Linked DNA regions of Drosophila melanogaster. The gene in region 2 interacts genetically with the main gene of each other region. Each region holds a gene or a part of one and is shown on either strand. Other genes may lie near its edges.

Region 1 (4,567 bases), on a different chromosome or scaffold from region 2:
ACGAAAGAGCGCGTCTACCAGTAGCTCCAGAAACTGGGGGTTTCGTATCAAGTCGATGGGCGGTGGATCGGAACCGGAGTAGTTGCGAAACAGCACGGTGATATCGGCGGGATTCAGTGTATTGCGGGTGAGCATGGAAGTTAGGGCTTGACATGCTTGCGGATAGACTGCCGAACCATTCAGGGCCATTGTAATAGGCGTTACATTTTGATTGCTAAACAATGAAGCAAAAGAAAGGATTTATGTTATGACTAACTATGTGGAATCGTCAGTTATTTTCATACTTCTGCAGGGCGTATTTAATAATTTCCTGAGAGAGCCGCTTCATGTTGAACCCACCCTTCTGCTCCTGGCTGAGGACCTGGATGAGCACCTGGGAGTATACGTAAGTGTGCTGGCCATGGCAGACCATTCGTGCGCACTCCTGAATGGCACCGTGCACATCATCCGGATTGTTTAGAAATTTGACGATCGAGGTCTTTAGAACCCGCGAGAAAACCTCAATCTGCTGTGCCGCTGTCGAAATGGAAGTGATCTCGCTCTGGAAGCCCGCGTCCGAGATCAACTTGATTGTAAAGTTCAGCATTAGACAATCGGGATATTCTTCGGCCAGTCGGTAGATTAGCGAGCGCCACGTATAGTGGTCGATCATCTCGGTTAGCCAGTCGGGCGTCTCACCCTCCTCCGTGAATATGGTGTCCGCCTTCTTGGGATCGAAGGACTTAAGAATCATTTCCTTGAGATGATTCTCCACCATGGCCTGGACTTCGGTAACCTTGACGCCCGCCAGGATGAGCCATTCCGCAAGCAGGTTGGCCATCTGGGCCACCGCCTTGTAGTTCTCGGATAGCATCGATATAACCTCCTCCGGAGATCCGCCCGACTGAAAGTAGCGCTTCAGCTGCGTAAATATCCCCGGCTCCATGATGTAGTCCGGTGTGAGGAACTTCTCCAGGCATTCCTGTATCGTCTTCTGCGGATTGTCCTCAAGCGTTTCCTTCGATTGGGATGGGATAACATGATGTTTAGTTGTTATTTTTTATGGTTTATCTAGTAGCGTCATCAAATTGCCGGGATTGCCTGCCACGCCGTACACGCTCTATACTCAATTACCTCCGGATTGGTTTGTCCTTTGGCGCGGCCCTGCCAACCAGAGTCGTCGTATTCCACTTCCATTTTTTCTCAAAAACTTATTTACAATAACATAAAAATATTTTTCTTATTTTGATTAACTATGCATTTTTAGTGTGACTGTAAATTGTTAACCACGACGCGCACACCTACGCGGGTTATGCGCCGTTTACACTTAGCAAACTCTTCTGTTAATTTCATATTATGCAATGTAAATCTTAAATTTGAGGAGAAAAAGAAAATTGTCAATAAGTGTAAAACGCGGTAATGTAAACATATATTAACTAATTTTTTTTTAAATTAATATATGTAAAATCGCAGTTGGAACGTGGCTGTTATTCAAGAAAAAGAAGAAGAAGCTGCCAAACATATCGATAGCCACAAGTGCGGCGAATGCCGGCTTTCGTAAACAAAGGTCGCGTTTTTGCGAGTTTTAAATAAACTTGGCAAAATGTCGACACAACGGAAGGATATGTGGAAGTTGCTTTACAACCACGTAAACCGGAACGTAAGCAACTTTTCCGGCGTGTACAGCGTTATAGAAGACATATTGTGCCAGGAGCCGAGTCTGATAAGCTGTTCGTTGGTGCGGGAGCTGCACAACAAATTCCAGGACACATTCCTACTCTGGCTGCTCAACAAGCTGGCCAAGTGCCTTAGTGAATCTCCAGATAGCAGGTAAGATGAGCCACAAGCATTGGACTCCAAACTTATGACACACCGTTTTTCTGCTGCAGCGAGTGCATCAATCTTCAAAGGAAAATACTGAGCTCCTGCTGTTCCAATCATCCTAAGCTTTTTGAACGCCTTGTACTGGCCTATGTGGAAGCCATTGAGGAGACGCACCTTCAGCTAAGTTCCCTGGACCTCGGCCAATTGAGTAATGAGCGAAAACCCGCCATAACTGTAAGAATATTCCGATGCGATGTGGAATGCCTGCAGGAGTTCGATCCGCACTGCGCTATCGAGGACATCAAGGTGCCCCTTGAGCAAGCCGACATGTATGCCAAGAGCCTGCTGGAGGTCCTCCAGCATGCCCATCACATTGGATACGCCACGCACGGCGACATCTTCTCGGGCAGCCTTCATCAGGCTCTGCTAATCCTCAAGGAGTGCGACATGGACACAAAACTGGCCAGCTTGAATTACTGTCACAATGTCCTACGATCACAGTCGGCCAGCAGCTGGATAACAAATCCGGACGTTGGACATTATGCGCAATTAACGTTGGAGGCGACGGCAATCATGTGGTCGGCAGTAGCCAAGTGGCTGGACATGGGATGTATGACGCGCCAGGAGCTAAAACGGCTCAATATAACAACAAAGCTACTGCTAGAAGTTCTGCATATGCGTGCACGTCCAGCCCACCATCTTGGCTACCTGCTTTTGAACGAGATCCTTAGTTTGCCGACAGCCATTGAATTGGACGATGGACTGCTGGAGACCCTAAGTTCCTATATTCAAGGCCAGCTAGAGCATTCGGTTGTACCATTGGAGCAACTGGTGCACTTGCAGCAGCTTATGTTAAGCCATTGGCACTGCCACCCCACACATTTGGTGCCCATATTGGCGCTAATGGGCTTGAAACAGACTGAGATGCGCTCAGGAGTGGTCCAAGTGCTTACCCAAAGTCTCGTTGAAATCTTGAAGAAGGAAGAAGTATTGTCGAAGGATTGGCAGAAACTGATTGCTATTTTACGAGGCTTCAAGCAGCTGGAGAAACTAATTCTGTCACAGAGTCAGCATAAAATAGCTGAGCACGAAGGTCACATCGATTCCTCAGTTCTGGCCATGTTACCGCTGCAGTGTGAAATCATAAAGGTTGCGGATACCAATTGGAATAACCTTTCAATGCAGCTGGTTGAGCTGGAATCAAAGTGTTCCGCAGACCGAAGACACATACACTTGGAAATCTGCTCCCTTTTGATGCAAATCACCTTCATCCGGCACTTTTTAAAGACTCAAACGCAACACCAGCTGCTGGCCATTCTTCAGCGACATTTGAAGCTGTCCTACCTTTGCGCCATTCGCTTGGAGACACCTTCTAGTGTTCATACCCAAATGCAAAGCTTCTATGCCCAGCAGTACATGAGGCTATTTCAATCCGAGGAGACACAGGAGATATTCTGTAGCAACCTTCCGCAGTTGTACATATCGGGTTTCATAAAGCCGGAGCAACTGATGAAAGCTCTGCCCACCATTAACAATCGTAGTGGCCGCGCTCAAGTTATACGCCTATTGCTCTGCTCCCAGCCAGGTAAATTGAGTGTCTTTAAAGTCAAAGATCGCATTGAGCTATACTGCCCGAAATGCAGGCCACTGCCAAAGAAACTGCCAGGTATTTACCTCGGAAAATGCAAGCAACAGCTGCCATGTCCAGACTTTTCAAGCACCAACCTCGAAATGATAGCAAATGATTTATTGTTTTATCCCGATTTTGAATGTATTGCCCAGCATCTGGACCTTCTGTGCTTTGAACCCAATGTGATTCTTGGCCTGCTAAGAGAAACGGAGGCACTGCAAAAGGTTAGCGTTAAGGTTATCGGCCAGCTGGTCTCTGCGATGCGTGTGCGTTCGCCAGAATTCTTGGAGCAATTAGCCAATCTTGTTCTAGCTGCTATAAAAGCAATGCTAGCAAAGCCACTGACAGAGCAAAATGTGCTGCAGCAAAGAAGTATGCTCAACGTACTGACCGCCATTGCGCACATGGAGGATAATGAAATCTGGCTCTTTCACTGGTTCAAAATGACATTCTTCTTTCTGGTGCACACTCGCTCACTGGTGGCGCAAGAAGCTGTGCTGGCGGCCACCGAGATGTGTGCCAGCCAGGGTCTGCAGACGATTCATCTGTGGAACTGGTACAAGCGAGATGCTCTCGACCTCACCGTTCGCCTGGCTTTGAACGTTTATCTTTTGGATGGCGTACGCTTCACCCGATCCCTCCGAGCGGTGCGTAAATAGACGAACTTTTCTTCACTTCCCAAAATTTGACCGGTCTGTTTGCAGCTTACGAAAATGTTGGGATTCACGTGCGTTCAGGAGTTCACCTGCAAGTATCATCGCCTTCTGACTGCCATGGTCCTGCCGCATTGCATCGTGAATCCGCTTTGCAAGGGAGTTTTGGTATTGATAGCCAAACAAATGCAGAAACACATTGGCACCTTGTTCTCCATCTCGTTCCTGCGGATCTACACACACGTCTTCCTGACCGAGGAACCGGAGTTGGCCAATAGTTGCATCGAGCTGGTGGTCAGTTGCACCCAGTCCAGCCTGCAACAGCTAATGAATGCGGATGTCAAGGTGGGCAGAAGTTAATTTATATTTTATTATTTTATCTTTTATTTTATTTTATTTGATTTGGTTATCACTTGTAGCAAACGGTGGCCGAGTTGCTTATATATTTCAACCGAAACCCCACATTCGTGATGCGATCCTT
Region 2 (7,392 bases):
CAAGAAGGTCACCTTTAGTGCCTTTGCCACCGTGCAGGTGGTGTGAAGGGCGTGAACAGTGGGTCTAGCATCTGTTGCATCTGTGCAGGCACAGAGCAAGGTAATAACATTTACTTTTTGTTTTTTAAGTATTTTTAAGAATACTCCAGATCAAGATAATTCTTTGATACAAAATAAACTTTAGAAAAATATGAAATACATTTAAGCAAGCAATGTAATTATACTGGAATAAGAATTGCAACCCACTTTATATTCTGATTTAATATAGTTACATAATAACATAGTATAATATTAAACCAATTGTAAACTGAATTATTCATTGATTCTTTTTCTTCTCTTTTCATTTCAGTATCATCTTGCACTTGTTAACGATTATTTCTTGTTGTTTTTATATTTGTTGCTGTTGTTAAATGTTTAGCCAAAACTATGGAAACCATACACGGAGAAAAATTCCTTAAAACATAAAAAAAAAACATAATAAATTGTTGTGCCATGTCTGTGGCTTGAAATAAAAATGAAAACCATATAGAAATGAATAACACACCCCATAGCTAAAGAAAATACCTCAAGGATCCTAAATAACTGCCCTCCTTTATCTTATTTTATCTGCTTTGCTTAACTGCCCTCCTTTATCTTATTTTATCTGCTTTGCTGTACATTCTGGTAGACTGACATTTTAATATCCTTTCTATAGTTCCTCTCGATCACCCTATCCTAAAACAGTATTTTCCATATTTTCTCATCTTCCGAAATCTTTCCTCACCAACACACCCGAAAATAATTGTAAAATATAACGACTGCAAGTGCAGAAATTCTAAATATTTACTATTAAATTGTAAATATGTACGAATTTTTGCTTATAACAATTAAACAGCAAATATAGTCATAAATATATGTATTCATGTAATATGTAAGTCTGTTTTGTGTATGTGTGTATATATATAAACCATGATTTTGCATTGATAATTATATAGGGTATGAAATCACCTTTCAAATCCACACAAATTTTAATCGAAATTGCTGTATATTGTATTTAAAGTATAATATTATATATATCTTATAAGCCTAATATTATGCATGATAAATAAAATACGATTAAAACCAAACAAACTATTGTCTTTTAATTTGGGAATAAAAACATATGACAAGCACATTAAAAGGGGATCTTCATGGAGCAACTGCTAATGGAAAAGTTTTTCTTTTTGTGATCCACTGCAATTAAAAAGCTGAAGCTCGAAAATGTAAAATCTAAAAGAACGCCCTTTAAATGGTGATCATTGTTCTTTCTTACTTGGTGAATTCATTTCAATTATCAGGTCGGATTTCCCGCCAAAATATAGCAGTCATTTTAAATCGCTGTAACTGTTATGTTAACTATTCGTGTTAACTGTAATCGATCATTTGTGCTTACAGATTAGACGCTAACAGTGCCCAGAGCTAACATAACGCGCTGCCACCTATCGATATATTACCACTCAGAAATTCATAAAATAGAGATGTTACTTAATAATAAAATTGCAATTTGGGATTAAGTTATTGTATGGCTTTTATTTTTTTTAATTTCCTTACATTCTTCCTCTTCTTAACGACACTATCGATATTACATTGCAAAAGTCCGGCAGCGCTTTATGTATCGTAGCTCTGTTATCGATATGTTCCCGCCATTCCCGCTTTGATCATCCTCCAGCCCTGGTCACAAAACAATTTTTGCAAACTGCAGCACAACACGGGGAAATTATTATCAAAGTTAGCCAGTTGCAATGTCTGAATCACCGTGTAAGTTAATAAGATAACTCCCTTAAACATATTTTTTACCGAAATTATAAATTTCCAGCTGAACCGCGCGCTAAGCGCCAGAGAGTAGACAAAAATGGTAGGTTCGCCGCCATGGAGCGACTGCGTCAGCTGAAGGGAACCAAGAACAAATGCAAAGTGGAGGACCAGGTGGACGATGTATACGATGTGGTTGATGAGCGGGAGTACGCGAAGAGGGCGCAGGAAAAGTACGGTGACGATTGGATCGAAGAGGGTAAGTTGGAACTCTGAACTCTATACTTTATAATACTAAATTTTAACTTTTAGATGGTACTGGTTATGCAGAAGATCTTCGGGATTTCTTCGAGGACGAAGATGAGTACTCCGATGGGGAGGAGGATCGGAAGGACTCGAAGAAGAAGAAGGGTGTTGCCCCCAACAGCAAAAAGAGACCACGGGAGAATGAAAAACCAGTAACAGGAAAAGCATCCATCAAGAATCTATTCAGCAATGCAGTGCCCAAAAAGATGGATGTAAAGACCAGTGTGAAAGACGATGATATCCTTGCTGATATTTTGGGCGAAATAAAGGAAGAGCCTGCAGCGACGTCAGAAAAGGCGGAAAAGGTTATAGCCCCAGCGAAAATATCAGTTACGTCGCGTAAATTCGATGCCGCCGCTGCCAAGGAATACATGAATAGTTTTCTAAACAACATCAAAGTTCAGGAGCAGGAACGTAAGAAAGCGGAGGCCAGTAGCGATAACGAGATGCTGGAGCGCATTCTGAAGCCCAAGGCAGCAGTTCCAAACACAAAGGTGGCCTTTTTCTCCAGTCCTACAATCAAAAAAGAGCCCATGCCTGAAAAGACACCTGCAAAAAAAGCCACCGAAGATCCATTCTCCGACAATGAAATGGACTTTAGCTGTCTGGATGACGATGAAAACCAGTTTGATGTGGAGAAGACACAGCAGACCGAGAAGGTTTCCCAAACGAAAACAGCAGCTGAGAAAACATCCCAAAGCAAAGTCGCCGAAAAATCAGCTCCCAAAAAAGAAACAACTGGATCGCCAAAGGAATCGGAATCGGAGGACATTAGTAGGTTGCTGAACAATTGGGAGTCTATATGCCAAATGGACGATGATTTTGAAAAGTCCGTGCTCACCACGGAGCAGGATTCGACAATCTCCTCAGATCAACAGCTTCGGTTCTGGTACTGGGAGGCCTATGAGGATCCAGTAAAAATGCCCGGCGAAGTCTTCCTGTTCGGTCGGACCGCAGATGGAAAGTCCGTCTGTCTGCGTGTACAGAACATCAACCGTGTGCTCTATCTGCTGCCCCGACAATTTGTGAGTATTATTCTACAAATACTTAGTCCTTAGGTGAAGTGTTGTTTCTGAATATATTCTTTTAGCTCTTAGATCCCATTTCGAAGGAGCCCACCAAGCAGAAGGTGACCGTCGCAGACATATACAAGGAGTTCGACAGCGAGGTGGCAAACCAACTGAAGCTCGAGTTCTTTCGATCCCGCAAGGTCACCAAGAGTTTTGCCCATCACGCTATCGGTATTGAAGTTCCGCAATCTTGCGATTACTTGGAGGTTCACTACGATGGAAAGAAACCACTGCCCAATTTGTCGGCTGACAAGAAATACAATTCTATAGCACACATATTCGGCGCCACCACCAATGCACTCGAAAGATTCCTCTTAGATCGGAAAATCAAAGGTCCCTGTTGGCTGCAGGTGACTGGATTCAAGGTGAGCCCAACTCCCATGAGTTGGTGTAACACCGAGGTCACATTGACAGAGCCCAAGAATGTAGAGTTGGTGCAAGATAAGGGAAAGCCAGCGCCACCACCTCCACTTACGCTACTATCGCTTAATGTTCGCACCTCAATGAATCCGAAAACATCGAGAAACGAGATATGCATGATTTCCATGCTGACCCACAATCGTTTCCATATCGACCGCCCTGCTCCACAGCCCGCTTTCAATCGACATATGTGCGCTTTGACTCGCCCGGCGGTGGTTAGTTGGCCTTTAGATTTGAACTTTGAGATGGCAAAATATAAGTCTACCACAGTGCACAAACATGACTCAGAGAGAGCCCTGTTGAGTTGGTTCTTAGCTCAGTACCAGAAAATAGATGCAGATCTCATTGTAACCTTCGATTCCATGGATTGTCAACTAAATGTAATAACCGATCAAATTGTAGCCCTGAAGATTCCCCAATGGTCTCGAATGGGGCGACTGAGGCTGAGCCAATCGTTTGGCAAGCGATTGCTGGAACATTTCGTCGGCAGAATGGTTTGTGATGTAAAGCGATCTGCAGAGGAGTGTATAAGAGCAAGATCCTATGATCTGCAAACGCTATGCAAACAAGTACTGAAGCTTAAGGAATCGGAGAGAATGGAAGTGAATGCCGATGATCTGCTAGAGATGTATGAGAAAGGAGAAAGCATTACCAAGCTCATATCGCTCACCATGCAGGACAATTCATATTTACTAAGGCTGATGTGTGAGCTCAACATCATGCCGTTGGCGCTACAAATCACTAATATCTGCGGCAATACCATGACCAGGACCCTTCAAGGAGGTCGTTCTGAACGAAATGAGTTCTTGTTGCTGCATGCCTTCCACGAGAAGAATTACATAGTGCCGGACAAGAAGCCGGTTTCTAAACGAAGTGGTGCAGGAGATACGGATGCTACGCTTTCAGGTGCAGATGCGACGATGCAAACCAAAAAGAAGGCAGCCTATGCTGGTGGCTTAGTGTTGGAGCCCATGCGTGGTCTCTACGAGAAGTACGTTCTCCTCATGGACTTTAACTCCCTGTACCCCAGTATAATACAGGAGTACAACATATGCTTCACCACCGTCCAACAGCCGGTGGATGCAGATGAGTTGCCCACCCTACCCGACTCGAAAACGGAACCTGGAATCTTACCCCTTCAATTGAAACGCTTGGTGGAGTCGCGAAAAGAGGTGAAAAAGCTAATGGCAGCGCCTGATCTTTCGCCGGAACTCCAGATGCAGTACCACATTCGGCAGATGGCCCTGAAGCTAACTGCGAACTCCATGTATGGTTGCTTGGGTTTCGCCCACTCCCGGTTCTTTGCCCAGCACTTGGCTGCTTTGGTCACCCACAAGGGCAGAGAAATCCTCACGAACACACAACAACTCGTGCAAAAGATGAACTATGACGTTGTTTATGGAGACACAGATTCCCTGATGATAAATACCAACATAACCGACTACGACCAGGTCTACAAGATTGGTCACAATATTAAGCAGAGTGTAAATAAACTATACAAGCAGCTGGAATTGGATATCGATGGAGTATTTGGCTGTTTGCTCTTGCTGAAGAAAAAGAAGTATGCCGCTATCAAGTTGAGCAAGGATTCCAAGGGAAACCTGAGGCGTGAACAGGAGCACAAGGGCCTGGATATAGTACGTCGCGATTGGTCTCAGCTGGCTGTAATGGTGGGAAAAGCCGTTCTCGATGAAGTGCTGTCGGAAAAGCCTTTGGAGGAGAAACTGGATGCAGTGCATGCCCAACTGGAGAAGATCAAAACTCAAATTGCAGAGGGTGTAGTACCGCTGCCACTGTTTGTCATCACCAAACAGTTAACTCGGACTCCCCAGGAATATGCCAATAGTGCTTCATTGCCCCACGTCCAGGTGGCCCTTCGTATGAATCGCGAGCGTAATAGGCGGTACAAAAAGGGCGATATGGTGGACTATGTGATCTGTTTGGATGGGACAACAAATGCTGCCATGCAGCGAGCATACCATTTGGATGAGCTCAAGACCAGTGAGGATAAGAAGCTGCAGCTGGACACGAATTACTACCTGGGACACCAGATCCATCCGGTAGTCACGCGAATGGTGGAGGTGCTGGAGGGAACCGATGCGAGTCGCATCGCCGAGTGTCTGGGCATGGACCCAACCAAGTTCCGTCAGAATGCGCAGAGGTACTTACTATCTTATTACTCCTTACAAACTCTAACCTAACGAATATTTTGGTTATGTAGAACCCAGCGAGAGAACACCGAGCAGTCGGAGGGTGAGTCCCTGCTCAAGACGACTCTGCAGTTGTATCGCCTGTGCGAACCGTTCCGCTTCCAGTGCGTTACCTGTAAGACGGAGCAGCTGATGGCGTCTGCGTACCGACCGGGTCCAAGCAACTCCCACATAGCCGTACTCCAGCAATGCGCTAAGTCCGAGTGCCAAACGGCACCGATTCAGTACCTGGCAAGCGTGCGCAATCAGCTGCAGCTTTCCATGCGGCAGTATGTGCAACGGTTCTATAAAAATTGGCTGGTCTGCGATCACCCGGATTGCAACTTCAACACCCGCACACACTCCTTGAGGAAGAAATCCCACCGCCCGCTGTGCCAAAAGTGCAGGAGCGGCAGCCTGCTGCGTCAGTATACGGAGCGGGACCTGTACAATCAGCTGTGCTACCTGCGATTCATGTTCGACCTCGGCAAGCAAACGCTGCAGCAAAAACGTAAGTAAATACAATGTAGTTATAAGCAGTATCAAAAACTAAAACAATAGTTTGTGTATAAGAACAAAATGAAGAATGTGGAGTACGAGAGAGAAATATCGACACTAAATAACAAGACACATGAAAGGAAAAATCAGTCGAAATATTTTATAGTTCCCGTGATCTCGACGGATTTCAGTAGTTCTTTATGCTTGTATCCTTGAATTCTTAAAAATTGTTGTAGTTTATATATTAGTTCTGACACCTAATACATATATTTCCCTTAAGATTGGTATCATTAAGTTTTACAGCATTTCATATTGAAATTATATTTTGTCCATATTATCAAGCCACCCTCACACCGGAGCTGGAGCAGGCCTATCAACTCCTATACGAAACGGTGGATCAGCAGTTGCAGAGCTCCTCCTACGTGATCATCTCGCTAAGCAAGCTCTTTGCCCGATCCCTGGCTCAGATGTCCCTGCAACCGTCCGTGGCGCAGCCCCAGATCGAAGCAATTCCGAGTGCTTTGGCGGATGTGGTCTAAGTGTTTAATTAACTAGCCTTTGTTATAAGTTCCATTAAAAATACTACAAAAGAGATACAGAGATACAGTATGGTTAACTAGATGAGGTCACGTGGCGAGGAACTTCTCGAGCGGAAAGTGCCGGAAGGACTCGTTGAATATATCCGTAAATGCCGTGCTAACCAACTCGTTAATCATCGGCTTGATGAAGGGCAATCCCAGCTGCCACATGCTGTTGATGACTCCATCGGCCAGTTGGTTGAGGGGCTGTCCCTGCAGCAAGTTCTCAATGTGCAGCTCCATTCCGCCGATGCGGTCCACCTCCACATGGACCTTGATGAGTGAGCCCGGACCGCCGATGCGCCTAACGCTGGTGGTTTGACTGAGGAAGTAAATAAAGTGAGCGATAGGTTGTCATGTAAGCCAAAAGCTATCAACAATACTGGTGTTTGCAACACAGCTTGGGAAATACATATTTCCATGCAACTCGGTGCCCACCTGTAATCGTAGAGGGTGAGGTTCCAGTGGCCTTTTCTGTTCATCTCAGTACCCAGCATCTTGGCGGCGAACTCGTACTCGCCCTCCAGACTTTTGTCGGGGAAATACTGAGTGTAGACGATG

What was found. Genes that interact genetically often act in the same process or in processes that back each other up.
Region 1: of PolA1 (region 2) and mei-41, changing one enhances a phenotype caused by changing the other (phenotypic enhancement), as found in Drosophila melanogaster (one study listed by BioGRID).

The regions. Positions count from the first base shown.
Region 1 is NC_004354.4:16,390,179-16,394,745, forward strand, and holds the start of mei-41 (meiotic 41), read left to right. Parts: upstream 1-1,519; 5' UTR 1,520-1,582; coding exon 1,583-1,809; intron 1,810-1,868; coding exon 1,869-4,080; intron 4,081-4,137; coding exon 4,138-4,431; intron 4,432-4,505; coding exon 4,506-4,567. Other genes in the region: TH1, read right to left, coding at 1-214, 285-997, 1,114-1,176. UniProt on the Drosophila melanogaster protein: Serine/threonine protein kinase which activates checkpoint signaling upon genotoxic stresses such as ionizing radiation (IR), ultraviolet light (UV), or DNA replication stalling, thereby acting as a DNA damage sensor.
Region 2 is NT_033777.3:21,666,014-21,673,405, reverse strand, and holds PolA1 (DNA polymerase alpha subunit 1), read left to right. Parts: upstream 1-1,655; 5' UTR 1,656-1,760; coding exon 1,761-1,776; intron 1,777-1,834; coding exon 1,835-2,029; intron 2,030-2,082; coding exon 2,083-3,101; intron 3,102-3,166; coding exon 3,167-5,727; intron 5,728-5,787; coding exon 5,788-6,266; intron 6,267-6,595; coding exon 6,596-6,792; 3' UTR 6,793-6,844; downstream 6,845-7,392. Other genes in the region: CG31176 (uncharacterized protein), read left to right, coding at 1-46; Jhbp16 (juvenile hormone binding protein 16), read right to left, coding at 6,880-7,153, 7,270-7,392. UniProt on the Drosophila melanogaster protein: Catalytic subunit of the DNA polymerase alpha complex (also known as the alpha DNA polymerase-primase complex) which plays an essential role in the initiation of DNA synthesis.